Sus scrofa: one gene and its partners. The protein of the gene in region 1 interacts with the protein of each later gene in a pairwise test. Links are inferred from orthologs where the notes say so. Each region holds a gene or a part of one and is shown in the gene's direction. Other genes may lie near its edges.

Region 1 (10,086 bases):
GAGTGATGACTGCTTTGCTCGGAGCCTGATGTGGAACGAGTCAACCCAGAAGCTCTAGTATTCACCTGTCTCGGTACCTGCAACAAATGTGGCTCCACTTTCAATGCTGGAACAAGGATGGCACTCTCATTGACAACCTCCATAAAAAAGAAACCAAGAGATTTTCAATGGCCATGGATCAGAGATCAGTAAACTAGGGCAATTGGAATAGGTGGATGCTCATAGACTTGCCAAAGTTGCTTGATTCCTTCATGTGAAAGTGTATCTTTCTTTGGGTGCTTTGGGAATTCTGTTTCCAGTCTTGAATGGTATCTTTCTGGAAATTGAGGAACTTCTTCATGATTATCCTAATAAATTTTACATCTCTGGCATAGCACAAATGTCTATAGTTACTTCTGTTTATTTTTGTTAATTCATTGAGTGTATTTCTTGAATCCAAAGGTCTGCATTTTAAGAAATGAGAACATCTGAAAAATCGAAAAGGGTGCTTTTATTGTTCTTGTTGTTTCAAGAAACCTAAATGGCTTTGCATATAAAATGGTCCAGTATATCGGCATAGCTTCTCTGACTTTCTGCCCCAAAAATGGTTTAAGGTAAGACCAAATATGAAATAATAAATCAACTAACCCAGATGTGCCTGATCTGTTTTTGCAAAAAAATAAAATAATAATAACAATATCATCCATTCAATAAGCATACTAAAAATCTATTTTATTGTCCCTGCTAAAAATAAGCTGACTGTCTGGAGGATGAGGCAGATACATACACAATACCCTCTCATTCCCTCATACAACTGATCATTATTAATTGAATGCCAGGCATGGTATTATGATAAAAATATAAGTGCTCTACCAGTAGCATTAATAAACTTCTGTGGTACCACAAAAGTGAGAACCATTAAGAAATCAAGATAGCTGCCCCAAAGATAAAGAAGAGAAAGACATAGTCAAGGACAAATTGACTGAAGCTGGAGATCAAAAGACTATGATAAAGAAGACGCTGCCAAAGAGAGACTGGGCAGTGGTGTTAGGTCACCAACTGAGCATGGGAGCAGAGAAGCAGGAAAGAATTAAAAGGGGAATACTGAGGTTTGCTGCAGACATGGCAAGACACAAGTGGCATATCTAAATGAAGTCCAGGCAGCTGGAATTTGCACAGTAGGGTTCTAGGAGGATGAGGTATGAGGGAAGGAGCAAAGGTCTATGGAAAAGATCTGCTCAAGTACTTGCAAAAGGCTGCGTTGCGTGCACACAGGATGAAATTCCAAGATGCTAGCATAGAATGGCTGCTGGGGGATAAAGAGCTGAGTGGAAATACAAGAAGTCATTCAAGTCTAAAAGACTTTGAAGTTCCAGGCTTTCTGGAGCAGGCAAAGCTCTTTGAGTCCCTTAGACATTCAGTCGTATTCCAGAAGAGTAAGGAGCCTTATGAAAAGAGTAAGGATCACAGTCCCGAGTAAAGAACACACTAAATTACACCTGTCCCAGAAAAAGCTAAACCCACGCCTAAGGATCAAGAGAAAAATGATATCTAACCTCTGCTCAGTCAAACCTCATCTTTAAGGTCCTGAAAGTGAAAAAAAGTGTTAATCAGAATTCTAATACCTTGCAAAATAGCCTTCAAAACTTGAAAGGAAAGCAAAAATATTTTTAGATAAACAACACTGATTAAAAATGTCTGAAGATTTATACTGTGAAAAACACTAAAGAATAGTCTTTTTCTTTAAAAGAATAATTATATCAAATGAAATCTCAGACCTACAGGAAGCATAAAAGAATCCTGGAGATGGTCAATTTAGCAGAACTGCAGAGACTGTATTGCCAAGTAACATATACTTTCTCCTGGATAATCAGCCCATGAAAAATACGCTGAAGATTTGAAAAGTCACTTCACAAAAGAAGATATCCAAATGGCCAATAAATACATGAAAAGTTGCTCGACATCATTAGTCAAAAGAATGTAAATTAAACTGTAACACTTAAACGTGACCCAAAAAATCATTTTAATTATAAATGTCTGACAATACCACATGTTGGTGAAGATACGGAGGAACTAAATCTCTCAAATGTTATTGTCAAGAATGTAAAATGGTATAATTATATTGGGGGAAAATCTAGTAACATCCTTTTTGTAAAATTGTTTGGCTGTGTCCACATTATGCAGAAGTTCCTGGGCCAGGAATTGAACCCATGCCACAGTAGTGACCTGAGCCTCAGCAGTGACAATGCCAGATCCTTAACCCCTGGAACCTATGGGTGGACAATCAAGACGTGGATTATTTTTTCAAAGAAACTTTTCCTTTGACTCTAGGTCACTGTGGGATCATAACTTTCCTGTGGATATTTATAACTTTCAAGTATGTTTTTGAAACTTTGAACTCATGTCCTTTGCAGAACTGCATCTTATACCATTGGCACACTAAGAATTTTAAGCACAAGTGTTGAAATATTAAGAGAACTACTAAAATCAAACCCAACTCTGCTCAGAGTTCCCACTGTGGCTCAGTGGTAATGAACCTGACTAGTCTCTGTGAGAATTTGGGTTCCATCTCTTGCCTCACTCAATGGGTTAAGTATCTGGCATTGCTGTGAGCTATGGTGCAGGTCGCACAGTCAGCTCGGATCCCACTTTGCTATGGCCGTGGCATAGACTGGCAGCTCTAGCTCTGATTCAACCCCTAGCCTGGGAACTTCCCTATGCCATCAGTGCGGCCCTAAAAAGAAAAAACCCAACTCTGCTCAATGAATAATAAGTCATAAGAGACTATTTTAATGCATTTATTTAAGATTTCTAGGTTTGGCTTTGGTTATTTGTTTATTTTTGCTATCAGCTACCTAAGGAAGTAGTGCTCAGAATTAGAAAAAAACTGTTTATTCTAAATCAAGAAAATATTAATGTTGTCAGAATAATTGTTTTTTTCCCATAAAGATTTTAAAGATTCTGCAGACAAATTATTCTGTACATTTTTAAGGAAATAAATATCACAATTAAAGCCAAGAAAAGTGAAAAGTGAAGATAAAATTTAAGAGAGAATCCTGAAAACTTACATCTCAAATACCTATCCATTTGGTACCACAAGAGATTTCATCCAATGGAACTGCTGGAACTCATAGAATTTTATTCATAAGTTCCAGTATCTTTAATTTTCATGCTCTTGGGAGCTTCAAGATTAAATAAATTAGTAAAAAAGAGAAAAGAGGCTCCATATCCCAGAAGAAAAGCCTGTTTCTTCCTTGCCCCTACTCTGAAATGTAATTTAATTAATGAGGGTTTAGTTTCCCAAGAAACTAAAAGATTATAAGAGAGTTTGTATTTCATTTCTATTAGAGATGCAGTTTAAAAAAAAAAAAAAAAAAAACCACCGTATCCCTGATAGGAAAACGAGGCATTAGAAATGTGGAGACGGCAATTTTCAGGAAATCAAAGATGACAACTTCAGGAGTTCCTGTCGTGGCGCAGTGGAAATAATCCAACTAGGAGCCATGAGGTTTCGGGTTTGATCCCTGGCCTCAGTCAATGGGTTAAGGATCCAGTGTTGCTGTGAGCTGTGGTGCAGGTCACAGATGTGCCTTGGATCTGGCTTGTCTGAGGCTGTGGCGTAGGCCAGCAGCTACAGCTCCAACGGGACCCCTAGCCTGGGAACCTCCCCATGCCATAGGTGTGGCCCTAAAAAAGAAAAAAAAAAAATCAAATGATCACAACCCCATAACTTGATAACCAATTTATATTTTCGGACTGGAGGGCAAAAATTAAGCCCATCCATTATGTAAAGTGACTTGTCAATTTGCACCCAAGTAGGTATGGTTCACATACACACTTTAAACCCAGTACACACCTCACTCCTTTACCATGTGAGCACGGCGAGACCACAGAAAGCATTGCAAGGACTGCAAACCACACAGGACACTTTTATGGTGGTGACACAAACAAACAAGGGGCGCTTAAATGAGTGATATCACTTATAAGTGGAATCTTAAAAAAGATGCAAATGAACATATTTGCAGAACAGAAACAGACTCACAGACTTTGAAAACAAACTTGTGGGTACCAAAGGGGATAAGTGGGGGCAGGGAGGGATGGACCAGGAGGTTGGGATGGGCAGATGCACCCTGAGGTATATGGAATGACTGGCCATCGGACACCTGCCATATAGCATAGCGAACTCTACCCGGTATTCTGTAATAATCCATGCGGGGAAAGAACCTGTAAGAGAATGGATGTGGGCACGTGTATAACTGAACCGCTTTGTTGTCCAGCAGAAATTATCACAACCTTGTAAGTCAACTCTACCTCAATAAAACCTTAAAAAAATGAAAAAATGACTTGTAATATTAATTTTAAAAGAAGACATAAACCATTTTCAAGGCACAGGCTCAAAATCTGTGGGAATATTATTTTCCTTATGCCCAATCAATTGTATCTATAATTACTGATTGGCCAAATTTTCCCTTTTCTTTCCTTATTTGGTCAAAAGGAAAGTATTTCCTATGAAGATTTTCTGAAAAAAAGCATTTTTATCCTCCCGGCACATGGCAACAGTGTCCTTATTTAGCAACTTGAAGTTATGCCTGTTTTATGAGGCATAAAACTCTTCTTCAGCAAATAAACAACACTAATGAGTGTTCATATGAAAACTGGCACCGGAAAACATCCGGTGCTTTGCGTGCTTTGCGTAAATACCCATTTGGGGGCTGATATAAAAGTCTCCGGAGAGAAGGAGACTTTTGGAGGCAGGCAGCTGGAGTTTTGCAACTAGTCTCTGCCCTTCTCGTCTGATAGGATGGCTTCTGACTGTTCCCCCTCCTGCTGCTCTTCTGCGTCGAGGGCCGGGGCTTCTGATGGCGCGATTGCTTCAACCGGTCCCGTGGACGCCACGTGTCTCCCCAGCGCCTGTGCCACCTCCAGATGCCACACTCCCAGGTCCTGTGCATCAGCTGGTTGCCTCAGGCCGCGCTGCTTGGCCGGGAGCTGCCACGCTCCGTGCCTGGTGGGGAACTGTGTCTGGGGTGAGGATGGCGCGTTCAACAGCAACGAGAAGGAGACGATGCAGTTCCTGAACGACAGACTCGCCAACTATCTGGAGAAGGTGCGCGGGCTGGAGGAGCTGAATGCGGAGCTGGAATGCAGGATCCGGGAACAGTGTGAAGAGGACGCCCCGTCGGTGTGCCCTGATTATCAGAGTTACTTCGACACCATTGAAGAGCTCCAACAAAAGGTCTCGTATTTCATCGCCCTGAAGTCCCACCTTCCCAGTCTGTGACTTGCTTTATTTTTGTTCTGCTAGAGGCTGTTCTGTGGCAGGATACCAGGGAAAGGGGAGGGACTTCTCAGAGGTAATGCGATGCAGAGGAAAGTCAGGAGGCCTCAGCACCAGCCCCTAGGCTGCCGCTAATTACTAAGTGATCATGATAAAATAATTGACCTCTAAATTTACCTTTATCAGCTAGGGAAGGAGGAACAACAGTGTTATATCGAGAAGGACTTCTGTGTGACACACTGTACGTGTACACATGTACGCGTTTTTTTTTCTTTTTTGTCCCGTCCCACCCCCGCACACGGAGTTCCTGGACTGGGGATCAGATCTGAGCTGCAGTTGTGACTTAACGCTGCAGGTGCAGAAAATGTGGGATCCTTATCCCACTGTGCTGGGCCAGGATCGAACTTTCGTTCTAGCAGTCCAGAGCCTCTGCTGAGCCCACTGAGCACAGCGGGAAATCCTGTATAGTATTTTTAACGCAGATATTGAAATGTCTTTTGGAAGGGGCATATCTGCAGCATGGAGAAGTTCCCGGGCCAGGGTTTGAACCCATGCCATGACAGTGACAATGCCAGATCCTTAACTGCTAGGCCACCAGGGAACTCCCAAAATGCCATCTTTTTAATCCTATAATTTCACCTAGTAATTATTTCCCTTTATTACTGATGAATTTTTTATTATCTTGGATGGTACTATAGTCGTAAAACAAACTACTTCTGGAGAAAAACCTAAGTGCCAAGGGATACTGCAAAATGTCTTAGGTTGGAGTTCCTGTTGTGGCTCATCAGGTTCACGTGACATGGTATCCATGAGGATGCAGGTTCAATCCCTTGCCTCACTCAGTGGGTCAAGGGTCTGGCATTGTCACAGCCTGGGTCACAGACGTGGCTTGGATCTACTCTTGAGGTGGCTGTGGTATTAGCCTAAAGATGCAGCTCCAGTTCGACCCCTGGCCCTGCCTTAGGTGTGACGGTTAAAAAAAAAAGTCTTGTGTCATTAAAAAACTAAACCTTTTTATTTCTCCATTTCATTTATAACTGGTGCTCCTTTTTTTCTTCACAAAGTGACACGGTTAATAAAAGCAGCCTGAAAGCTACTTTATATTTTCTTGTAAAACTTTAAAAGATAAGTGATGCCTTAGTGGTTAAACAAGTAGATACTTGGGTTTCTTTTCACAGAACCACTTATGACATAATATCTTGCTTCCCAGATCTTGTGTACGAAGGCAGAGAACTCAAGACTTGCTGTACAGCTTGACAACTGCAAACTGGCTGCCGATGACTTTAGGTCAAAGTAAGGTTAATTTGAATTGGAAAATAATTTACGGTTGCCTCTTTCTCTCCTTCTCTCACATAGCTCCACACACACCACTGGTATTCTCTACATAATATTTTTTAAGCCAGAAGTAATTGTGAAATTTCCTTCTGTTTTCATCTCTAAGCAAACCCTATAAAATATGTGCTATGAAAATGCTTCATTCTGTGTAAAGAAAACAGAAGAAAATTCCAACCCCCCTCCCCTCCAAAAATATATATATATAAAGCGAAGAATGCTCACGCAGCTTGAATTTTCATTATTTGGGGAGTAGAAGGAGTCACGATATGTGGGTTCCTTGGGTCCACGCGTCAGTCATTGGTAGGCCCAGCGCTTTGCGCAGTGTCCAGCGGGGTAAGCACCGGCTGTGTCTCTTGCTGTGAAAGGTACGATGCTGAGCTGTCCCTCCGCCAGCTGGTGGAGATGGACATTAGCGGCCTGCGTGGGATCCTGGGGGAGCTGAGCCTGTGCCAGTCTGACCTGGAAGCTCATGTGGAGTCTCTGAAGGATGATCTCCTTTGCCTTAAGAAAAACCATGAAGAGGTGAGGAAAAGGGCAAAATCCCTGAACGGCTCTAAGAGGGGCACAGTTAAACTGACAGAACCCGTGTTGTGTATATAGATTGGACTTGAGCAGATGTTGCTTAAGGTGGAAGAAAAGGACTCGAGGCACTATTACTCCCCAGCCTGATCATTCTGGTGTGTCTCTGAATGTAACGGAATTAACCCCTGGCCAGGGCCAGCTGGAGGAACCAAACCTTTCACCTGCCACTGCTTTTGTGGCCGAGGCAAACCCACACATGGTTTTCCTGGAGGCTTTCTGCTGCTCTTAACTCTAACCCATAAGGTGTGAAAAGCAGGCTGATCATTGCAGAATATAAAGGCCATTTCAAAAAGGAAATAGGAGTTCCCATTATGGCTCAGCAGGTTAGGAACCCGACTAGTATCCAGGAGGATTCAGGTCCGATCCCTGGCCTTGCTCAGTGGGTTAAGGATCCGGCATTGCTGCAAGCTGCAGTGTAGGTTGAAGATGCAGCTTGGATCCAGCATTGTGGTGGCTGTGGTGTAGGCCGACAGCTGCAGCTCCAATTGGATCCCTAGCCTGGGAACTTCCACACTGCAGGTGCATCCCTGAAAAAGAAAAAAAAAAGGCAATATAGACTCATGCAGTATTTGGACAAATACTTTTAAATATGCTGCATTTATAAACTTTTAAAAATCACTAAATGTGGAGTTTCCTGGTGGCCTGGCAATTAAATATGTAGCATTGTCACTGCTGTGGCTCTGGTCACTGCTATGGCACAGTTCAACCCCTGGCCCAGGAACTTCTGCATGCATTGGGCATGGCCAAAAAAAAAATCATTAAATGTGAAGTGTATACTTATCTCTTTTTTTTTTTTTTGTCTTTTGTCTTTTTTAGGGCCTCACCCTTGGCATATGGAGGTTCCCAGGTTAGGGGTCAAATCTGAGCTGTAGCTGCCAGCCTACACCACAGCCACAGCAATGCAGGATATGAGCTGCGTCTGTGACCTACACCACAGCTCATGACAACACTGGATCCTTAACCCACTGATCAAGGCCAGGGATTGAACCCTCATCCTCATGGATACTAATCAGGTTCATTAACCACTGAGCCACAGAGGAACTCCTACTTATCCCTTATTGATGATGCTAAAAAAAATGAAGAGCTGGATGACATAACAAAGTCTAACTTCCCCTTGAACATTTGTTGACGATAATAACAGCCGACACTGAGAACTTACTGGGCACCAATAAGTGTTGATAAGTGTTTTCTATGTCTCTTAACTCGTGTATCTCGCAATAACTCTCTGGTAAAGGTAAAAATCATACCCATTCCACAGGTGGAGAAACTGAGTGATGAAACCAGACTCAGGTTAGGCAGTCTGAATCTGATCCCCCACTTTTACCCACTACTCCCCAAACCAGAAATGGGATGCCTTTGGGGTGTCAAGTTGAATTTTTTTTCCCACCACTCTGATATTATTTACTCCATAATATCCACCCACAGGAGGTCAACGTGCTTCGTGAACAGCTGGGGGACCGACTCAGTGTGGAGCTAAACACTGCCCCCACCGTGGACCTCAACAAGGTCCTGGATGAGATGCGTGGTCAGTATGAAACCGTGCTCGCCAACAACCACAGAGACATGGAAGAATGGTTCGCCGTTCAGGTGAGCATCTGGAGCAGCAAAATGCCAGGCATCCCGATTGTGCCCTATTTGCCTTCTCTTAATCAGGCCTGTGTTACAGACGGAGGAGCTGAACCAGCAGCAGCTGTCCAGTGCAGAGCAGCTGCAGGGCTGCCAGACGGAGATGCTGGAACTGAAACGCACAGCCACTGCTCTGGAGATTGAACTTCAAGCACAGCAAAGCCTGGTGTGTAAGGGAAAGATAACTGTTTTGTCACTGAAGAGTCAGGCCTCGAGATAGTGTCCCCATAACCCAAAGGAGAGACCCACAGTTCATGGAGCAGAAGGTCTGAATTTCCAATGTGCAAGGATTGCATTTCCTTGCCTTTTTTTTCTTTTTTAAATAAATTTTGTTGGAATATAGTTGACTTACTATATTAGTGTGTTAGTTTCAGGTACACAGCAAAAGTGAAATATATATGGATATCTCCATAAGTGGAGATATATATATATATATATATATATATCCATTCTTTTTCAGATTCTTTCCCCACGTAGGCTATCAAAGAGTCCTGAATAGCCAGCGTTCCCTGTGCTATACAGTAGGTGCTTGTTACTTACTGATCTTGTGTATCGTAGTGTGTATATGCCAATCTCCCAGTTTATTCCCCCCGCGTTTTCCCTTTCACAACCCTAAGTTTGGCTTCAAAACCTTTGACTCCATTTCTATTTTGTGAATAAGTTCTCTTGTATCATTTTTAATGTGATTCACATATTAGTAATCTCTACCCTTGCCTGTTTCAAGTATGCTGTTTATGCAGCTAGAAGCAGAAGGGATAGGTCAGCAGCTTGCACTGCCCCACTAGGATGCCCTGACCTTCCCCCCCGGGGCTCAGGCATGATCCTGCGGCACCGTCCAGAGACAAGGAGGGAGAGGGAATGGGCAGGAGCAGAAAGAGGGGAACTTCTGAGTCAAAGGCACTCAAGAATTCCAATGGATTCCATCTCTCTTTTGATTCGGGCCAGTTTTCCAAGCCCCCCATCCCATCTGAAACACAGAGGTCCAGACTTGGCATTCTACAACTATTCTAAACTTTCCCAGGATCCACACCTCACCTGGACCCCTCCCTGCCTCCCACTCCACGCAAGCAAAAAGACTACCACGCATTCGAGATTACATTAAGCCGTTCCTCTGTGGGTGCCACCCTAGGTCCTCCAGAGAACATTTAGGTGAATAATAGCTGAGCATTCACTGTGTGAAAGGCAGAGGCACAAAGCTAATTAAGCATCAACATAACCTCATGGGGCAAAGCCCTTGTACTGACCCTGTGAGACAGATGAGGAGAACCGAGACTGGGATTAAGTAA
Region 2 (9,923 bases), on another chromosome or scaffold:
CCTCTGAAAGAATCACTTATGAAGAATATTAAAACTATTCTCCAATTCCCCTTCCTGGCTCAGCAGCTAATGAACCCAACGAAGATCCATGAGGATGTGGGTTCGATCCCTGGCCTCGCTCAGTAGGTTAAGGATCTGGCATTGCCGTGAGATGTGGTGTAGGTCGCAGATGTGGCTCGGATCCCACGTTGCTGTGGCTGTGGTGTAAGCTGGCAGCTATAGGTCTGATTCGACCTGTAGCCTGGGAACCTCCATGTGCCACGGGTGCGGCCCTAAAAAGCAAATTCATACATACGTACATACATAAAACGAATCTCTGGTCATCTCTAAAAGCAAAGGCTGGAGTTCCCACTGCGGCTCAGTGGGTTAAGAACCCGACATGGTCTCCGAGAGGATATGGTTTGATCCTTGGCCCTGCTCACGATGCTAAGGATCTGGTGTTGCAGTGGCTGTGGTGTAGGCTGGCAGCTGCAGCTCTGATTCAAGCCCCAGCCTGGGAACTTCCACATGCCGCGTCTGCGGCCGTAAGAAGAAAGTGAATCCAGGAAAGGCTCTCACAGTAAAGGACCCACACGTCTCTGCCAGCATCCCGCAGGTCGACTCTGTCGCAGCTACTCCATCAGGTTTCAGCTCTCTTTGCCTCTAGGATTATTCTAGGAGCTATAATTAAACTGGCCTATTTTCTGATTTGACTTTAAGTTCTGGAGACTTTAAAAAAATAACACAAAACTGATTTTTATGAAAACAGAAGGGCTTCTACTTTCCTCTTTGGAAAGAGCATCAGGCCCCAAAGCTTGGAAGTGCTCACATCACTCAGTGAGGCCACTGTGTGCCTCTCTCTGGTATAACCCAGGAGGGGCAGGTGTCAGCTCAGGCCTCTCCCCTGACCCGGCAGACCCCTCTGATAACCCCGTCACTTCCGGCAGTTCCTCCACGATTCTTCTTCTTTCATGACCAAGTTCGCCAGACAGGTAAGGCTCCTGCTCTGTCAGACCTGCTGTGTCACTTCATGCGCACTTCAGCGCAACTCTGGCCTCCAGGTTCATGTTATACAGCCTGTCCAACAAGGGCAGTTTGGTATTTGAAGATAATAAACTCTTGGAGGCAGGTTTTTTTTTTTTTTTTTTGGCCGCATCTGGGGCATATGGAAGTTCCCAGGCCAGGCACAGAAACTGTGGCTCTGACCCCAGAGTCAATGCCAGGCTTAATCGGAGAGGCTATAGTGGGAACTCCTTGGATGCAGTTGTTTGGGGTTTTTTTTGTTTGTTTGTTTTTTGCTTTTTTAGGGCTGCACTGGGGGCATAGTGAGGTTCCCAGGCTAGGGTAGAATCGGAGCTATAGCTGCTGGCCTACATCACAGCCTTGGCCACACAGAATCTGAGCCAAATCTGCACCCTACACCACAACTGACGGCCACGCGGGATCCTTAACGCACGGAACAAGGCCAGGGATGGAACCTGTGTCCTCATGGATGCTAGTCGGATTTGTTAACCGCCGAGCGATGTCGGGAACTCCTGGACGCAGTTCTTAAACGAGGACCCCGCATTCTACTTTCTAGGAAAAAAAGCTGCTTTGGTTAAGAGACAACTTATTTAACAAAATTTGGCTATTAGAGCTCACGTTTTTTTGAGCAGTGGTCACGTGTTTGGTTGTGAACCATCCTGAGAGGTTTGCAAATGTCCAGCGAGGTATAAAGTTTCATGGAAGCAAATTAATTCTAGAACCCTTTGGACTGCATACAGCACTCTTATTAAAGGAAGTGTTTCATAAATAGGACCTCCAAGTGCTGCAGTTGGAACCCACTGTTGAGTCTTTCATTCTCTCACGATGCCATCCTCCAGGAACTCCAGGTCTCAACACTCATCTTGGCTCTCAGCTCGTGCATCCGCGCACCCTCAGTGCTTCCCTCACTAGGTGGAGAGCAGGGATTCTGAAAAACGTTAGGCGCACCGAGGCTGGGAAATGAAACGACCAGGGGGTGGTCGCCGGAGACCCCGCCACGCCCTTCGGGTGGGCGGCCCAAGGGGTCTCCGAGGGCCTCCGCGAAGCCCCATGCGGCCGCTTGACAGCACAAACCACCCCAGCACGGCATCCCTCAAACACTGAGCACCCAAGGCAGACGGGCTGGTCGACGGAGTCGAGCGAGGCGGACACGGCTGGGACCACCCGGCGAGCCAGCCGCCCCGTCCCTCCCAGCCGCGCAGGCGCGCTGCGCCCGCCCCACGCCCGCGGGAAGGCCGGCCAGCCCAGCCCCAGCCCCAAAGGCCGCGTTCCCGCCGCGGGGCAGGGCGGGGCCCGCTGCGCCTGCGCACTCGCCTCTCGCGCCGCCCCTGCGCCTCCGGGAGGCGGCACCACCACGTGACCACTGCCAGTACCCAAGATGGAGGCTGTGGCCGGGCCTAACCCGCTCCCCGCCTCAGCCTCCGCCCCGGTCTGCGCCCACTAGGCGGGCAGGCCCGCGGTCATGATTGTTAAGCCACCGTGGGCAGCTCTCGGGGGGGCCGGAGAGTGAAGCTCGCCAGAGCCCCTGCCCTGCTCACAGTCACCACAAGCCCGGGCTCTCTCCACTTTCCCAACCGCCAAGCGCCCAGCGGCTGGCGCCTGGAGCGTCCTCTGATAGCCCCGCCCCTGGGATTGGCAGCTCCGGCAGCCAATAGGAACCAGGACGTACCGGAGAAGGCGGGTAGGGGTGGAGCATCCCTGCCGTTCGTAGGGCGTCGGGCCTGGCGGTTGGCGGCCGCTGGCCGAGGGGCGGGAGCAAACGGGGCGGTACCCGGGGCTCCCGCGGACCAATGGAAGGACGGCCGGGCTCCCGGGGAGGGCGGGGCCGAGCCGTAATTGACGAGCTCTTCATTAGAAACCCGGCAGGAGGGAGGGGCCCGCGAGGGGAGGTGATGCAAAGCCGCCGCAGCCAACGGCTGCAGAGCCGCCCGCCGGGGGGCGGGGCCGGGGCGGCTGACGGGCGTCGGCGGTGGCCTATCAGTGCCCCGCTCGGTGCTGGAGGGGGGAGCAGCATCATGGTTCAACGTGGGTCAATTTTTTGTGAATGAGGAGGGGAGGTTGTGGGGCCGCCGCCGCGGAGCACCGTCCCCGCCGCCGCCGCCGCCGCCGCCGCCGCGCCCGAGCCCGCGCGCCCGCCCGCCGCCCGCCCGCCCGCGCCGCCGCCTCAGCCGCCTGGGCCCGGCGCGCCGCGGCCGCGTCCCCGCTGTCGCCGCCGCCCGAGCGCCCGCCCGCCTGCCGCCCGCGGTGGTGGTGGCGGCGCAGGCTGAGGAGATGCGGCTCGGAGCGCCCGCGCGGGGCTAGAGCGCCCGCCGCCGCCGCCGCCGCCGCGGTAAGCGCTGCCCCGGCCCGGCCCGCGGGCCATTGTCCACCCCCCGCCCGCCCGCAGGCCGCCCGCCGGCCTCCACGCCCCCCGCCGCCCGGCCCCGGCAGGTGGACGCCGGGGTCCGCCCGGCCGGCCGGCCCGGCCCGGCCCGTGCGCCCAGGCCGCGCGTGGCGCCAGCCCGCGGGCGTCCGGAGCGGGAGGACCCGTCCTGGACCTTCCCCTGCTGCCCCAGCCGGCGAGGGCCGACGCGCGGCCGGGGCAGGATGGCCGGCTGGCCCCGGGCGCCCGCGCCCGTCCAGGCCGAGCCCTCGGCAGGTGGGCCGGGGGCTCCCGAGCCCGGGCGGGCGCCGTTTATGTAACTTTGTCGAGGCTGTGAGTTTGCAGAAAAACGTCCCTCCGCGGGGCTCGCGGGCGGGGTGCGCCGTCGCCTGGTGTGTGCCCCGGCCCGGAACGGCAGGGGTGGGGGTGCTCACGACCCGAGTGGGTGCCCGCAGGCTTCCCACAGGCCGAGCTGTGGCCCCGTCCTGCCCCGAGGATGTGAGCCGCGTTTCCGGGCGTTGCAAGCACACACCATGGAATTATAAGCAAATTATCTCGTATTTACATTTAGCGTGGAATTATTTGACACTGTTCTAGCAGGAGATCGTGCGTATCAGTCGGAAAGGCCGGGGGTGGGACCCAGTGTACTCATTTAATGCACATCAAAAATTTGTAATAACTTGCAGCAGCTGATATGAGTGTTTGCTTTATTGCATGTTGTAAATTGACCTGCTGTGACACAATTTTCAAATAAAGTGTTGCAGAAATTAAACTCAAGTTATTTTAAAACTAATGACTTTCTTAACTAAATCCTAATTGCATTACTGTAGAGACCTACCTAATTGCTCGCAGCAGCTCCGCCTGCCCTCGGTGAGGGAGGAAAGGGCCTGGGTAGTTACTTTGCTTCCCCCTCTTTTCTCTACTCAGGCTTTTCTGTTTATTCCCACAAACCACCTAAGCATGAGAGGCCTGGGAGCAAACATGTAAACAGCCCTCGCCCAGCGCCAGCCCAGCGGGATGGGAATTCTGGTGGGTTTGCACCTTGGCCTGGTTTCACTTTTTCTTTTGTAACATGATCGTGATTGCCTTGAGTTTTCGTTGCTTCTGATAATTCTGTACGTTATTTCGGAGACGGTGAAGCGAATGAAAGCTGTGAGCACAGGTGTGGTGGTTTCAGGATCGGGCCAGGAAAGGTGGGGGGGGAGGGCGAGAGATTGAATTAAGAAAACTCAGCTGCTTGTACACAAATATACACTACAGCAATTACAAAGCAACAAAAGTTATTGCAGAATTTTGCAGTCACTATGGCAACACAATTACTCTATTATAATTGGAAATGCAAAATGCCACCCTGTTAGAAGTTTCATCAGAATGGAGCTCTGGATATCAAAAATATGTGGGGTTTAAATTTTTTTCAGGTAGCTCCTGAGAATTCTAAAATCTGTGTTCAATTGTCTATTTTTAAGACTGATCAAGCTTTCCCAGATACTCTGCTCCCTGGGATCTGTGGCATCTTTCCCCAGAACTCACATTTGTGTGGGAGGGAAGTATTTTCCTGCCTTAAAAACACACACTCTGACACATTGTTAGACTTCTATAGCTTTCTGTGTTCTGGGCTTTTATTTTCAAGATCAGAAACCTTCCTAAAGAGAGCAGTAATCAATCAGAAAAGAAGCAGGATTTCTGCGCAGGCAGTTGTAACACTGCCCTCTTTAGGGTTGGTTCTTCCTCCTGCAAGGGGACCTGGCAGCTCGAGTGCCCCTGGGAGAGCCCTGGGATGGGGGAGGTTGGAGGCGGGGGTGGGGGGGTGGGTGACTGTGGTCTGCACGTAGGCCTGGAAGGCCTGGGGACCAAGGACAGATGTGGCCTGAGCAGCCGTGAGCCAGGAGAGAATGTTCTGTGGTCAGCAGCTTCACAGCCATGCAAAATAAAAAAAAATCTCTAAATGCCCAGTTCGCAGAGGCTGTGGGGGCCCTTGCTGTAGCAAGATGGACAGACCAGCCTGGCACCCCGGCCACGTGCAGCTGGGGAGCAGGTCCAGACTCAGTGGTCGGAGACCTGCTGTCTGAGGGTGCCCTTCTCCATGTTTACCAGGAGGCCTTGAGTTCTGGAAGTTTCCACACATCGTGGGGTTGCTGCAGTTTAATTTCATTATAACTCTTTCCTTTTAACTACTGCATATTTATGTCCAGTAATCGACTTCCATTTTCCAGCTTCATTGTGAGGTTTCAATGCAGCATGAGTGGCTTTGAATTCTCATCCTTTGATGTTGGGGTGGCACCGGGGACAGGCGACTTTGTGCCGTCCTAATTGCCAGAGCAGAAGAAACATTTCATCACTCCTGCAGAATTCGTCCATACCGTGCTCTATTGAAAACGGCTGGGCTTTCATCACTCAGAAACTGCCATGAGTAATAGATTAGTGCCTGATGGAGGGAGCGAGGGAGATGCCGAGAGCGCAAGACCACTGCTGCCGCCGGGAGGCTGCGGGGCCTCGGGCTGTGGCTGCGCCTCGGGTCCCTGGACCAGGTCGCAGCCCCTGCTGGTCTGGCCTGGAGGGGGTTTGGTTTCCGTCCCCGATGGGCGGTCAGGATGTGCCGGGGCGTGCAGGGGGCTCAGGGCTTTGGCCTTGACCTAGAGGAAGGTGGAGGATCTTCTGGTTGAAGTTAGAGAGGGGCCCTGTGTCAAGTTGATGCTGCAGCTCACAGACCTCAGGGCGTGTGTTCGCGGGCGTTTCTTCGGGAGAGGTGTCACCGAGCGAGGATCGGGAGCTCCGGTCCCGCGGCCCTTTTCATCTCCTGGCTGGTGTGAGTGGGGAGATGGGGCGGGTGGGCCTGCTTGGGGAGCGGGGTGGTCCCTGATGCCTTTTCCGGCCCGCCTCCTAGCCTTCTGCTCACTCCCCGGGAGGAAGGGCCAGGGCCCCACAGGTGCTGCCTCCGCAGTGACCCTCGGTGTCACTGGGGACCGGTGGGCATCTGGTCAGCAGATGTGGGGATCAGCGTGGTTCTCCCCTTTCCCACGGAGCAGATCATGTGCAGGTGACGCTCCAACAGCAGGGGCTTCGACCGCACGGGTCCCCTTTCACGCGGATTCTTTTCAGTGAGTCCTCCAGTGCCACCTGATCTGCGGTTGATTGAATCCGGCACGTGGAACCATGGACACGGAGGGCTGACCCCGATTTTCACCTGTGTCCGGGGTCGGCACCCCAACCCCCACACGTCCAAGGGTCAGCTGTGGTCGTACCACAGACCAGCAGCTACCCCGTGAGGCGCACCTCCTTGGGGCCCCGTGCCGTGGTCCATACTTGCCACGGAGGTCCCGTTCCTCTCCCCACCGCCTTGGGGGTGGCTCTTCCTACACCCGCTTTGCAGAAGAGGCGCCCGAGGAGCCGGGAAGATGCAGCAGCCGGTACCCCTGGCTGTGTCAAGCCCCGGATGCTGATCCTGCGCGTCCGCGCCTCTGCTTCTGATCTGGGAGCCCAGCTCGGTCGGGGTGTGGGGAGAGCAGGGCCTCTCGGGGGAGGAACCGCTTTGGGTTTAGCGTCCTGTCGGGGGCTGTCAGAGCTGCTGTAGATGACACCGCTTCGGTAGGGCCAGGGGAATCGTTCTGGCCTTCCTGGGCTGTCTTCTCGGGTGTGGTGCTGTAGCCTGGAAAGGATCCTGACCGTCCCTGGTGGTCACATGGGATGCTTGGATCTTCTGAGGCTGCCTGGTGAGCGGATCGGGGTACAGGTGACCCTCAGCAGCGTGGGCTGCCTTGGAACAAAGCATTCCAAGTCCGGAAACTTGGAAAAACCACTGATTTAATCCATTCTTATTATAACACCAAGCCAGAAACTTTAAAGAGAAAACATTGACAGATTTAACAGTGTGAGAATGAAAGAACATTTTAACGTTTTTTTGTCAAAAGACTCCCTAAGTGGGGTAAGAGACAGTGAGAGAATGGCTACCTAAGCTCAATAGTCAATATGTAAAGAGCTTTTACAAACCAATAAGAAAAAGACAAGCATCCCTCTTACGTGATGCCCAAAGTGCATACACCTGCAAAGCAAATCACAGTGAATAATAAAAAAGGCTTAGCTTTACGGATAAAGAAATTCAACCAAACAACTTCATGTCTGCCCACCATATTAGCATGGGTTAAGTTTAACAGCACCTGTTGGTGGAGGCGATAATAATTATCTTACGTGGCTTTTGTGAAATTTAAATAAGTTAATATATGGAAAGTGCTTACAACAGGCCCTGGCACATAGTAAGCAGAATATAAGTTTTGGCCGTCACCGATTACTTAATTACTCTCCAGAAGAGTTTTATGTGTCACGTTTTTCAATGGTTATCCCTTTTGTTCCAGCAGTTCTACTTGTTGGAATTGATTCTTGGGGAGGACTGTGATAAGTACATGGATATCCAGATACTCACAGGATGTTATTGCTACAGTATTTCTAAAGGTGCTACTTATTAAATACATTTTAGTACTTGCCTCCTGTGGAAATCCATGCACTGGCTCACAGGTCAGCAGAAGTGTGCAGTGTGTAAGTGAAAAGCAGGCCCGTCTCTTCTGTTTTTTAAATACTTGGGTCTTTAAAGTGGTCATGGTGGCCTTCTGGGGGTGTCAGGAAAATGGGATATGAGTGTCTTTGGTTGTCTTCTATGTATGTTGGCATTGGAGAAATTTTCTTGTAAGCACATCTGACTTCGTAATAGTGTATTTTTGTAGAGGTCTGCTATTTCCGTTGGAGGAAGAAAATACTCTTCAAGCCTATTTATAAAGGAGGGAGACCAGGTCCTTAGTCACTGATACACACGCTTAGTACTGGAAGAACTCCGGGGGCGTTTCTCTGACTCGCCCAAGCTCTCCTGGCCTCCTGGGTCTGGGGGGGGCTCTGGCCCAGGCTGTTTGCAAATGGCTTCTAAGCGGTCCAGACCAAAGCAGATCCGTACCCATCATTCATGGCTTCCCACTCTCTGTAGGCTCCTGAGGACCTGCCTGATCCTGGCCTTTGTTCTCCTTGCCTCGGCTGATGGCGCCTGTCCTGTTCACTAAGCTTTAGCCCCCTGCCTGTTTTGCTTCCTTGCTCTCTGGGAGCCCGGTTTGGCCCCAGGGCCTTTGCACACACTGTTGCCAATTCTTGGAACTAGGTCTCCTCACCCGCTTCTCCACCCCTCAGTCCAAGCTCAGCCTTGGGTCCCCTGTTCATCATGGCCTGACATCCTTCTCCTTCCCAACAGGATCCGCTTGTGTAATTTCAATAGCTTGTTGCAACATTAGTGGTTTGATGTCACCTCTTTTACTAGCAGGGGTGGGGTCTCCGTTGGGTGGAGGGACCCCGAGGGCCTCCTGCCTGCTTTGTGCCCTGTGCCTGGCGGGGTATGGCTGAAGGACCGAGTGGGTGTCTGCAAGCACGGTGAGGACTGCCCTGGCCTCCTGGCACCTTCTGTGCTACTGCCTGTGCCCTGGAACTGCCTGTTTCCTTTCTGCCTCAATCTGGGAACTTCTTGGTTGTGATTTTGGAGATTACATGCTTTTAAGTAGATGCCATAAATACAAGTGAAGTGGATTTCGTGATGCAGAGAGGGCAGTGAGAGGAGGAAGGGCCTTAAGCACACAGCTGTCAAGTGGCTGTTGTGTGCGGCCAGTGTGGCGGCCTGTCCTTGGCCGGATTGCCCTGGGCGCCTGTGTTCAGGTGGCCCAGGCTGTTCTGTTAAAGGCGCTTTTCCCCGTTTGTTTCAGATTGGAACCAATGACATGATTTACTCATTTAGCCTCACAATTTTAATACGACACCTTAATACAGTCGCGTCTGTAAACACGTTGGAGTCTGTTCTGTTCAAAAATGTGACTGCCAGGCTGTGTTAGTTCACTGCTGGTTGTGAAGTATCCTGTCTGTGTGGGTCAAGTGCCTTTGCTGGATTGATGTTTGAGCTTGCAACAGTAAATCAGTTCTCAGGGCCTGAAAGCCTGAGCCGCCCGGAGCAGGAGTGTGCTTGGGACCTGGTTGCTGAGCTGCGGGTGATCTCTGGGGAGTGGCTGTTGGCTGGTCACGTGGTGCTGTTTGCCAGCGCGGGTCTTTCAAACTCCAGACCCCCTGCTGCCACCCGCCTGCCTTTGATGGGGGGTGGGGTGGGGTGGGAGCCACTTTCCTAAAAGTTTCTAATGGATCCGTTATAATTTTGCAGACACGAAGCCTGCACCTGACCGACGGAGGAAGTTTTCCGTGGGGATGGGAGTGGGGTGTCGAGCAAATGCTTCAGTGTTGGGAGGTGCAGACGCAGGTCCTGGGACCCCCTCTTGCTCAGGGAGGCCCGGGTCGCAAGGAGCTTAGATGTGGTGGGGATGGGGTGCGTGGCTGGGGGGAGGCTGGGGGGCGGGGATCCAGGCTCAGATGAGGGGAGAGGAGTGCGGTCCTTCGCAGCCGGCCCTGGGGATGCCAGGCCATCGGCGGATGTGGGCTGGGCCCCGAGGGCTCCAAGGCTGGGGCGTCAGGCAGGAGGAGCTGGACCCACAGACGCGCTGGCTTCCCACATGCGCAGTCCGCTCGAGGTTTCGGAACTTGATCCCCT
Region 3 (9,958 bases), on another chromosome or scaffold:
GGCAGCGCCCCCACGTGATCGCTGGGAATCTTTGTTTTTCTGTTCACCTACAAATGCCAAAATTCAACACTTGGGTTGTATCTTTGTCCCTCCAGATTGACTCTCACCCTTCTCCCCCTGCTCTGAGCCCTGAGAGGCTAACTGTGTGACTGACTCCCTTACTTTCCTTACCTTCTGGTGCAGCCAGTGAAAGGCTCCAGCAGGAAATGGTAGGGGAGGAGCAGAAAGAGGACCGTCTTTATCCCCCAATCCCTAGACATGGGCTAGATCTAGTGACTGGATTTTAACATAGAGGATGCAGCAGCAGAAGTGGTGCTATGTGACTCTGGAGGTTAGATTATAAAGATACAACTTCCACCTGGCTTTCCTTCCTCGGATCACTTGTTCTGAGGAGGCCAGCTGCCAAGTTGAGAGTATCAAGCTCAAGCAGCCCAATTAGGGAGGAACTGAGGCATCCGGCCAACAACCAGCAGCCACATACCTGCCATGTGCATGAGCCACCTCGGAAGTAAGATCTTCTAGCCCCAGTCAAAACTTCAGATGACTGAAGTCCCAGGCAACATCTCGATTATAACGTTATAGAGACCCTGAGTCAGAAAGCCCAGTTACTCTTGGATTCCTGACCCAAAAAGCTATATGAACTAAAACGTGTTTCCTTTTTTTTTTTTTTTTTTTTTTTTTTTGCTTTTTAGGGCCACATCCTCGGCATATGGAAGTTCCCAGGATAGGGTTCAAAATGGAGCTGCAGCTGCTGGACATAGACACAGTCACAGCAACACGGGATCCAAGCAGCATCTGCAACCTACACCACGGCTCACAGCAACACCGGATCTTTAACCCACTGAGTGAGGCCAGGGATTGAACCTACATCTTCATGGATACTAGTTGGGTTTGTTTCTTGTTTTAAGCCACTAATGCTTGGGGATAATTTGCTATGCAGCAATAGAGAATTATAATACCTGGTAACAACAGTCCCAGGCTCCCACCTTCTACCTGGAATTCTCCCCCTCGCCACATCCTTCAGATCTCCCCTCAGCTGTTACTTCCCACAACCATTTCTAAACTCCCTTTACCCATCCCCCTACCCAGTTCATTTTTCCTCCTGGCACTTATCTCCTATCCTTGTTTCTTGTCTCCCCTACTAGAATGCTAGCTCGATGAGGATTTGTTTTATTTGGTGCTGTGTCCACAGTGGCTGGCACAGAGTAAGTTCTCACTATGGTGGCCATTATGATGAGAATCTAGCAGACCTGACTTGTAACAGGGCTGTTTTAGGTTCCCACCCGTTTCCTACCTGCTCAATGCCCACCCTAACCAAGGGATGGGATGTAGCCATGCCCTCCCCCTCCACTGGATAAGGAGTAATTGGCAATTATAATGGGAGAGCCCCTCCACACCTCCCCACTTCCCTCAGGATAAAATCCCAGGTCCTATGTGCTGCCTAAAGGCCCCCATCCCTGCTTGCAATCCCACTGGCCAGCCACAAAGAACTGTGAACTATTTATATTCACTAATAGAGCAGGCTCCAGAGAAAGGTGCATAGACCCCACAAACAAAAGGTTGAGGTTCAAGAACACATTAGAACACTTCTCTTTTTTTTGTTTTTTGGCAGCCCCTTGGCTTATGGAGTTCCCAGGCCAGGGATCAGATCCAAACCACAGTTATGACCTATGCTGCAGCTGAGGCAATGCAAGATCCTTAACCCACTGTGCAGGGCCGGGGATCGAACCTGCATCCCAGCACTCCAGGAACACCACCGATTCCGATGCGTCACAGTGGGAACTCCGGAACATTTCTATTTTTTTTTTTTTTTTTTTTTTTTAATAATATTTATTTATTTATTTATTTATTTTTGCCTTTGTCTTTTTGTCTTTTGTCGTTGTTGTTGTTGTTGCTATTTCTTGGGCCGCGCCCGAGGCATATGGAGGTTCCCAGGCTAGGGGTTGAATCGGAACTGTAGCCACCGGCCTACGCCAGAGGCACAGCAACGCGGGATCCGAGCCGCGTCTGCAACCTACACCACAGCTCACGGCAACGCCGGATCATTAACCCACTGAGCAAGGGCAGGGACCGAACCCGCAACCTCATGGTTCCTAGTCGGATTCGTTAACCACTGCGCCACGACGGGAACTCCCGGAACATTTCTATTTTTAATGTCCTTTTTTTTTTAGTCTGCTGAGGAATATCTTTATGTACTGAATACATTATTATTAAATAATCTATGGAATCTCTCAGTATAATTGTATTTGTATATAGTTTATACACAAATAGCCACCTGGGGATGGAGCTTGAACATAGGGGTGCTCACTGAAAAATGATTTTTGGAGTCATTTGTCCTAATGCAATTTAGCCCCTCAGAGGGTATTTGGCAGCATCTGGAGACACTTTCAGTTGTCTCAACTGGGGCAAGTGTGCCACTGGCATCTGGTGGGTAGAGGCCAGGGATGCAGCTCAAAACCCTACAATGCACAGGGCAGGTCCCCACCACAAAGAACCATCCAGCCCCAAGTAGAGCTGAGGTTGAGAAGCCCTAGATTAAAGCGCTAGATTCTCTTGATTCTGGGGTCTTTGCAGGACTAGCTCCCTCCTTCCCTACTCCATTCTTCGCTTAGCTGAGACCTCATACTTCAAGGATTCCTCAGAGAAGCCATTTCTGAAGCCTTCAGGCTGGGCCAGAGCCCTTCCTAAGAGCTCCTCTAGCCCCCTCTTCGCCCCCTGCTAGGTTAGAAAAGTTCGGACCCCTGGGGTTCTCAACCTTCCCATTTACAGTGTAAATTCCCTGTAATCCCCTAGACAGCCTAACTCTGGACAACTGCTAGAGACCCCGGGAATTTGTGTTCTTAACAAGCATCTCTTCCTTCCCCCCAGCTGCTTGCCCCTCCTTATCTTACACATAGTAGGTGACCCAGTGACCAGTTAAGTGTCTACAACCTGCCAGGCGCTACTAACTGCTCTACGCAGGGAATCGAATCCTGGCAAACACACACCGCCCCCGCCACCGCCCCGCCGCCAAAATACACCCAGACTGTAGCCACTACCATCATCCCATCTTACAGAGGAGTAAATTGAGGTTCAGAAAGGGGACGTGGCCAGGTAAGAGACTCAGAGCAAGAAAGGGGTCCAGGTGCTGAATACTGCCTGATTCCCGGGGAGGGGAGGGGATGGAACAATGAAATGGGGGGGCGCGAGCTAACGGGGGCGCGGAAACTCGCCGCGGCCTTCCGATGCGGCCCCACCCCCACGAGGGACGTGAAGACGCGGACCCCGCGCAGCGTGGGGACATGTGACCGACTGCAGAGGCCGCGCTGCCTCCCCCGCCCGAGGTCTGCGCGCTCCGCCGCAGGGTGCAGATCGGTGGCGCCCGCCTGGGTTTGGGGCGCAAGAGCAGAGGCGGAGCCAAGGCGGAGCCAGCGCGCCCCGTCCCCCCTTTCCCTATCGAAAGCGAAACGGAGGGCCGGAAAGGAAGGGCGGAGCCCGCCTGGAGGCCCCGCCCCCTGCCCTGCGCGGCGGCAGGACCGACGGGCGCGCCCAGGTAGGGGGTCGCTGAGCGCGCAGTGCGGACCCTCGCTGGGACCTGCGCCGCCACCATGTCTCAGGAAGGTGTGGAGGTAGGAGATGGCTGCCAGTGGGCCGGGGGCCTGCGAGAGATGCTGGGGAGGAGTTCGGGGCGCGAAAGGGGCTTCGCAGTTCCTGGGGACTCCATCTGAAACCCAGACCAATCCTTAGGCTGGCACTCGTTCCCCTCAGAAAGGAGAGTGGCCACCACATGCCCTAGAGCGAAATGCGGCCTCCTCGAGGAAAAGCGGAGGCTGCTGGGTCAAGGGTCAGAGGCCAGGGGTTACCTGGCGGGCCTCCTCTCTTAGCCTAGGACGCTCACCCTGGTCCGCTCCCTCCCCCAGTGCCTTGTAGGGACTTTGGCTTTTTCCAGGAAATGCAGTAGAGGGATTGGGGGGGGGGGGGTGCTGTGCAGAAGCCAAAACCAAGGGTCAAGTTCAGGCCAAGAAAAAGGATGCCTAGGGATGGGGGAAGGGCCATCGCTCCTCTCCTTCCTCCTTCGGAGCCCCCTGTCCCCACCCCAGCTGGAGAAGAGCGTCCGGCGCCTCCGGGAGAAGTTTCATGGGAAGGTATCCCCCAAGAAGGCGGGGACTCTGATGAGGAAATTTGGCAGCGACCACACCGGAGTGGGGCGCTCCATCGTGTACGGTGAGCAGGCCGGATCGAGGGCCTGGTGGGGGTTCTGCAGAGGAGCACTGGAGGGGGGTGTGGTCTGTGTTGGGGGTAGAAAGAAGCGATGAGATCATCTCTTTGGGGAGCGGTCTGTATCAGGGGTTCTGGGGACACTGAAACTCCCACAAGATCTTTCAAGGGCCCTTCACTTACACTTACTCTCCCCACCAGGGGTAAAGCAGAAAGATGGACAGGAACTGAGTAATGACCTGGATGCCCAGGTAAACTGTCCCTCTCCCTCAAAGGATGTGCTAAGGGGAGGGAGAACAGAAGGGTAAGCTCATTCACGCTGAGCCCCCGCTGTGCACTGTCAGTCCACAACTCATGGTACAGCCTCATTCACTTATTCACCTCTCAGTCTTGTATCTGGCTGGCGGGCCTGCAAACAGTAGGTGCTCATTACATGCTGACTGTATTCAGTGGGGGTGAGACAAGAAACTAGCCAGTGAAATGAATCGGGATTAATGTCATTTACAGAGGAGCCACAGAGGTCAGGGAAGGCTTCCTGGAGGAGTTGGAAGGAAGTTGTTCAAGATCAGGGAGGAGTCATCCCTGGGAAGGGGAGGAGTCAGAAAGGGTCTTCCTGGAAGAGGGAGGCTGTGCGAGCAAAGGAACATGCGGACAGGCTGGGATGAGCAGGAGGTGGGGGAGGAGAGAGGGGCAGGGGATCCCAAAGGAATGAATGAATGAATGAATGAAAGGCTTTGAGGCATAGACACAACAGGGCCACTTTGCCCCTTAGATGGCTTTGGTGTCTGGTGCACTGGTTTCACCTGTCTAAAAGGCCCAGCATAGAGTTCTTAAAAAGTGTAATAAAGGATGAATTACACTCTTAACATTCATATATTTACATTTATACATATGATGAGTATGATAAAATAGCAAAGAGTGTCATTGATAAAGCACTTCCCCTGTGGCAGGACTCCAGGACTTTTACCTGTTGACTGATTTCATTGCCACAGGTCCTATGAGACAGGTCCTATTAAGATACTAGCATGTCCATTTTACAGATGAGAAAACTGAGACACAGGGTGATGAAGCCACTTGCCAGGTTCATGCAGAAGGCAGGTGACAGCTGGGATTTGAACCTCCGCCACCTAGAGTCAGAACCTGGGCTCTTAGATGTCCCTCAGTAGTGGGAATGGCTTGGCTACACCCCCACAGCTGGAGGTAATGAGGCCAGGATTTCAACCCCCATCTCCCTAAATCCAGAGCCCAAGCACTTAGCCTAAAGCAGCATGGCCTCAAAGAGGTGACCTGTCACCATGCCAACAAATGTGTGGCATTTGTGAGTAGGACAGGAGCATGGGGTCCAGGCCTGCCCCACCAGGTTCACTCAGGGTAAATTCAGCAAGCCCTCTCCCAGCTCTGGGCCTCAGTTTCCCCATCTGAACAATGGGGGTAATAAATATGCCTACCTCTCAGGGTTGCTCTAAGGACAACTGAAGTCACACATCCTGCCCTGAGGAAATAGATACTTCTCAGTCAATCAACTCCTCCTGAGTTAGGAACACCCTGCTTTTTTTTTTTTTTTTTTTTTTTTTTGCCACTTCACGGCATGTGGAGTTCCCAGGCAAGGGATCAGACCTAAGCCTCAGTTGCAACCTAAGCCGCAGCTGTAGTAATGGAGTATCCTTAAATCGCTGTGCTGGGCCAGGGATCAAACCTGCATCCCAGCACTCCCAGGACACCATTGATCTGGCTGTTCCACAGCAAGAACTCCTAGGGACACCCTACTCTTAATATGGGGCCAGAACCCCCGCTCCCCAGAAGCCCCACCCACAGAAAAGATGCATGAGCCACATCCCCAGTTTCTGCCCTGGTGTCTCCACTTAGGACCCCCCAGAGGATATGAAGCAGGACCGTGACATCCAGGTGAGTCCAGGATGTGGGACGGGAAGGTGAGCAGGGAGGACATCCATGGGGAGGTCCCTAGGTGAGGACGAGGGACGCTGTAGGGGGAGGAAGGGAAAAAGAGGGCTGACAACCCTCCCATCCCCACCTACACCATCCTACAGGCAGTGGCAACCTCCCTCCTGCCATTGACAGAAGCCAACCTACGCATGTTCCAGCGTGCCCAGGAAGACCTCATCCCTGCCGTGGACCGGCAGTTCGCTTGCTCTTCCTGTGACCACGTCTGGTGGCGCCGCGTGCCCCAGCGGAAGGAGGTGATAACCCAACCCCTGACCTTGGTTCTGTCCTGACTCCACTCCCAACCCTCAACCTCAGTGTCCAAACCCTTGACGGAAGAACATCAGCCTCTAAGAACCCAACCCCCGACCTCCAACCTCAGAGATCAACCCGAATCGCATACCCCAACCCCGACTGGACTTCTCTTTCAACTTGAGAAGCTCGACTTTTACCCCAGAGCCTGATCTCGGATTACATAGTTTGACAGCTACCGCAGAAGTCAAACCTGACCCCCCGCAACTACAACCCTATATCTGGCTTCTGAACCCCTTGACCAGTGGTGTGCTTCTGGTAAATGCCTATTAGCCAGCTCTTGTGGGGTGGAGGCAACCCCGGATTTATAGTGTTTGCCAATTTCCATTGTGTAAATCTCACTGTGGTCAACATCAAGCTGTTGGTACTTACCTCTGACCTCAAGCCGGCTCCCCTTTCCGCACCCCCAGGTGTCCAGATGCAGGAAATGCAGGAAGCGCTACGAGCCAGTGCCACCCGACAAGATGTGGGGCGTGGCTGAGTTCCACTGCCCGAAATGTCGGCACAACTTCCGGTGAGGGCACAACTTCTGGTGAGGGTTCTGACCTCTAGTCCCCACTCTCGGCCCCGCCCCACCCCACCCCTGCCCCTCCTAGCCCCGGCCCCACACTGGCCCAGGCAGCCCTTGGACCCTCACGGCCCTCCCCGCCCCCAGGGGCTGGGCGCAAATGGGGTCCACATCCCCCTGCTATGGGTGCGGCTTCCCCGTGTTTCCAACACGGATCCTCCCTCCGCGCTGGGACTGGGACACGGATCGCCGCAGCAACCACACCCACTCCTGCTCAGCTGAGGACTGCTACAACCGGCGAGGTGAGGGCCTGGTGTGTCCCCGTGGCCTTCCCCAACTCTGGGCAGTCTACCTGGCCTTGATTCCTGGGACATCCACCCTGGGGATTTAAGTACCAGGGTTTCTGCTTGCCTCTTCTGCACACCTCCCAAGGCCACATCAGTCCTGGAGGCCCTTTTGTCTCCCAGCGCATCTGCCCCTCCTTCTACATCTTCCATGGTCCTCCAAGTCTCCTTACCTCCAGGTCCCTCAGGACCCTTGCCCCTCCTAACACCCACCTCCCATGGCATTGGCCACCTTCCATTGTCTTACCCATAGGCTCTGTGGTCTCACTCCAGTGGCCCACACCCCAGTGTCCTGTGGCTTCTGCCCTTGTGGTCTCTGCGTTCTTGGCTCCCATTTCGTCTCCCATAGTCTCAGGTGACGCCCATGTACCTGAGTCTCTGGTGGCTTCAACACCTGTGACCTTCGCCTCTGAATCTCCTGTAGCTCTGGCCCATAGCCTATAGCCTCTGCCCCTCCTTCCCCAGAGCTCCCCGTGGCCTTAGCCTCCTTGCCCCCAGAGTCTCATGTAGCATCAAGGTCCAAGGACCTCAGAACCTCTCCCTCCCCAGAGCCCCACGTGCCTGGGACCTCCTGTGCGCACCCCAAGAGCCGGAAGCAGAACCACCTGCCCAAAGTCCTGCACCCCAGCAACCCCCACATCAGCAGTGGCTCCACAGTGGCCACCTGCCTGAGCCAGGGGGGCCTCCTGGAAGACCTGGACAACCTCATTCTGGAGGACCTGAAGGAGGAGGAGGAGGAGGAGGAGGGTGGGCATGGGGAGTGACCCCTGCCAGGTGCAGATGCAAACCAGACACGGTCTGTGGATACTTTGTGTTGTTATAAAATGTGAGCTCAAACGGAGATCTAAATGCCCTTGGGGAGCGGTCTGGGTCTGAGATATTGGCAGGGGGATTCCCGGGTCCTGTGTTCAGGGCCCCCAGGAGCAGATCCACAATGGGAAGAGGTCTGTGGGACATGGCCTGCACTGAGCCATGAAGGAGGTGTGGCCAGGACAACTTGGGCTCCTGCTAACAAACATCCCCCTGGGACCTGGGGGAAAGATGGATAGATGGTCACAGCCTCAGGGGCCGGATCAGCATGGCCGCCTTCTTGAGAGAGTAAGCCCCACCACGAAACTCGGCCCAGTAGACACCGTCCTGGTAGCGGCTACGGTAGTGGCCACCACGATGCCACACACCATTGAGGTTGGAGTGGGCACAGGCATGGTACCACCAGCCTCCCCGCTGGTACAAGGCACAGTTACCTGAAGGGAGAGAGAATCCGTGTTGTCTCACCAGAATTAAAGCCTCTACCAACATCTCATTAGTACAAGGCTTTTGCCAGGCATTCTCTGCCCACCCCACCCCCCAACTTTCTTCAGAGTAAGAGCCTTAATTCCTTCCTTATCCCCTTACCACAGTACAAGTCACATTTTCCCTACTGTTCTTCAAACTAGTAGCTTTACTTCTCACTCCTTTATCAGGGAAAACAACCTTCTCTACTTCCTTTCTAGAATAAGAATCCTAGTTCTCATAGTTCACCTCATCCCAGTCCACCTGCCACCTTTTACCAAGGTAGGAGTCCTGACTCTTACTGCCTCGTCAGAGAATGAATCTGCAACTCCCCACCCTCTCACCAGAATAAGAGTCCTGTCCTCCATTTCCTTGTCTACCCTGATACTTACGAGGGGAAGTCATACCCCACCCCCTTTCATTTCCTCACTAAGTCCTCTATCCCCACCACCACCAGGAGCAGAATAAGAGCTCCTTACCAGAATAGGAGTCTCGATCCCTATCCACAGTGCTGAAAGGCTTGTCGTTATGCCAGGAAAGAGAGTCTCCAGCATCTCCATGGTACTGGCCAAGCCGTAGGCGGTAGTGGTCACTCTCAGGCTCCAGGGAGAAACTGTCATAGTGGGCACGTGCCCCACGGCCTCCCCAGTCTTCAAGGAGAACCAGTAGCTCATGGTCCCCACGGCTGGTCAGCTGATGCACAGGTTCAAGGCCTAGCCAGTATTCCCCATCAGGCTGACCAAAGCCGGCCTGGCAGGGTAGGGAAGTCAGGAGCAAGTCCTCTTCCCTGCCCAGCCCTGTCCCACACACCTGGGCCCACCTTGTAGTGCTGCCAAGTAGTGAAGAAGTTGACAGAGCCATCTTGCCGCCTCTGGATCACAGTCCAGCCTCCACCTTCCAGCTGTTGCTCGCACCATGCTGATACCACATGCCGGCCCAGTCGTAGCTCATATACTCCACTCTGTCCATGGCCTGCCTGGCGGGCCTCTGCACAATCCTTCCATGGCCCTATGGGCACAAGGATGTGAAAGAGACACAGTCTGGACCAATAACTCCTTATAAGGGTAAAGAGTCCTGATTCTCACTGGTCCCCTCACCAGAATAGCAGTCCTGTCTCTCCTACCCTCTCTGCAGAATAAGAGCCTCAATGCCCCTTTTCTTATCTAAATAAGACTATGTCACTCTTCTCTCACTAGACCAAATGTGGAGATTGGGATTCTTAAATCCTTCTCTGGTCTCCTCGCCAGAAGAGAGATCCTGAGCATGGCCCTCTGAACTCCCTCAAATTCTCACCAAAGTAGCAGTCCTAAATTCCCTGCCCCCCTCATCAAAATAAGAGTACCAATCCTATTCTCACACCACAGTAACAATTTGGGTCTTTATC

What was found. The genes of interacting proteins can lie anywhere in the genome.
Region 2: the proteins of KRT40 (region 1) and HDAC4 interact in binary tests that used the Homo sapiens proteins (3 or more experiments, as listed by UniProt). The two-hybrid records come from large-scale screens. The link is inferred for Sus scrofa from reciprocal best matches to the Homo sapiens genes KRT40 and HDAC4.
Region 3: the proteins of KRT40 (region 1) and C2H19orf66 interact in binary tests that used the Homo sapiens proteins (3 or more experiments, as listed by UniProt). The two-hybrid records come from large-scale screens. The link is inferred for Sus scrofa from reciprocal best matches to the Homo sapiens genes KRT40 and SHFL.

Annotation. Positions count from the first base shown.
Region 1 is NC_010454.4:21,477,118-21,487,203, forward strand, and holds the start of KRT40 (keratin, type I cytoskeletal 40), read left to right. Parts: upstream 1-3,607; 5' UTR 3,608-4,780; coding exon 4,781-5,215; intron 5,216-6,467; coding exon 6,468-6,550; intron 6,551-6,957; coding exon 6,958-7,114; intron 7,115-8,599; coding exon 8,600-8,761; intron 8,762-8,840; coding exon 8,841-8,966; intron 8,967-10,086. Other genes in the region: keratin-associated protein 3-2, read left to right, coding at 1-2. UniProt on the Homo sapiens protein: May play a role in late hair differentiation.
Region 2 is NC_010457.5:138,650,589-138,660,511, reverse strand, and holds the start of HDAC4 (histone deacetylase 4), read left to right. Parts: upstream 1-3,245; 5' UTR 3,246-3,331; intron 3,332-9,923. UniProt on the Homo sapiens protein: Responsible for the deacetylation of lysine residues on the N-terminal part of the core histones (H2A, H2B, H3 and H4).
Region 3 is NC_010444.4:68,938,966-68,948,923, forward strand, and holds C2H19orf66 (UPF0515 protein C19orf66 homolog), read left to right. Parts: upstream 1-3,280; 5' UTR 3,281-3,587; coding exon 3,588-3,608; intron 3,609-4,079; coding exon 4,080-4,203; intron 4,204-4,398; coding exon 4,399-4,448; intron 4,449-6,063; coding exon 6,064-6,102; intron 6,103-6,245; coding exon 6,246-6,395; intron 6,396-6,860; coding exon 6,861-6,964; intron 6,965-7,105; coding exon 7,106-7,260; intron 7,261-7,851; coding exon 7,852-8,066; 3' UTR 8,067-8,142; downstream 8,143-9,958. Other genes in the region: ANGPTL6 (angiopoietin-related protein 6), read right to left, coding at 8,356-8,546, 9,054-9,324, 9,395-9,582.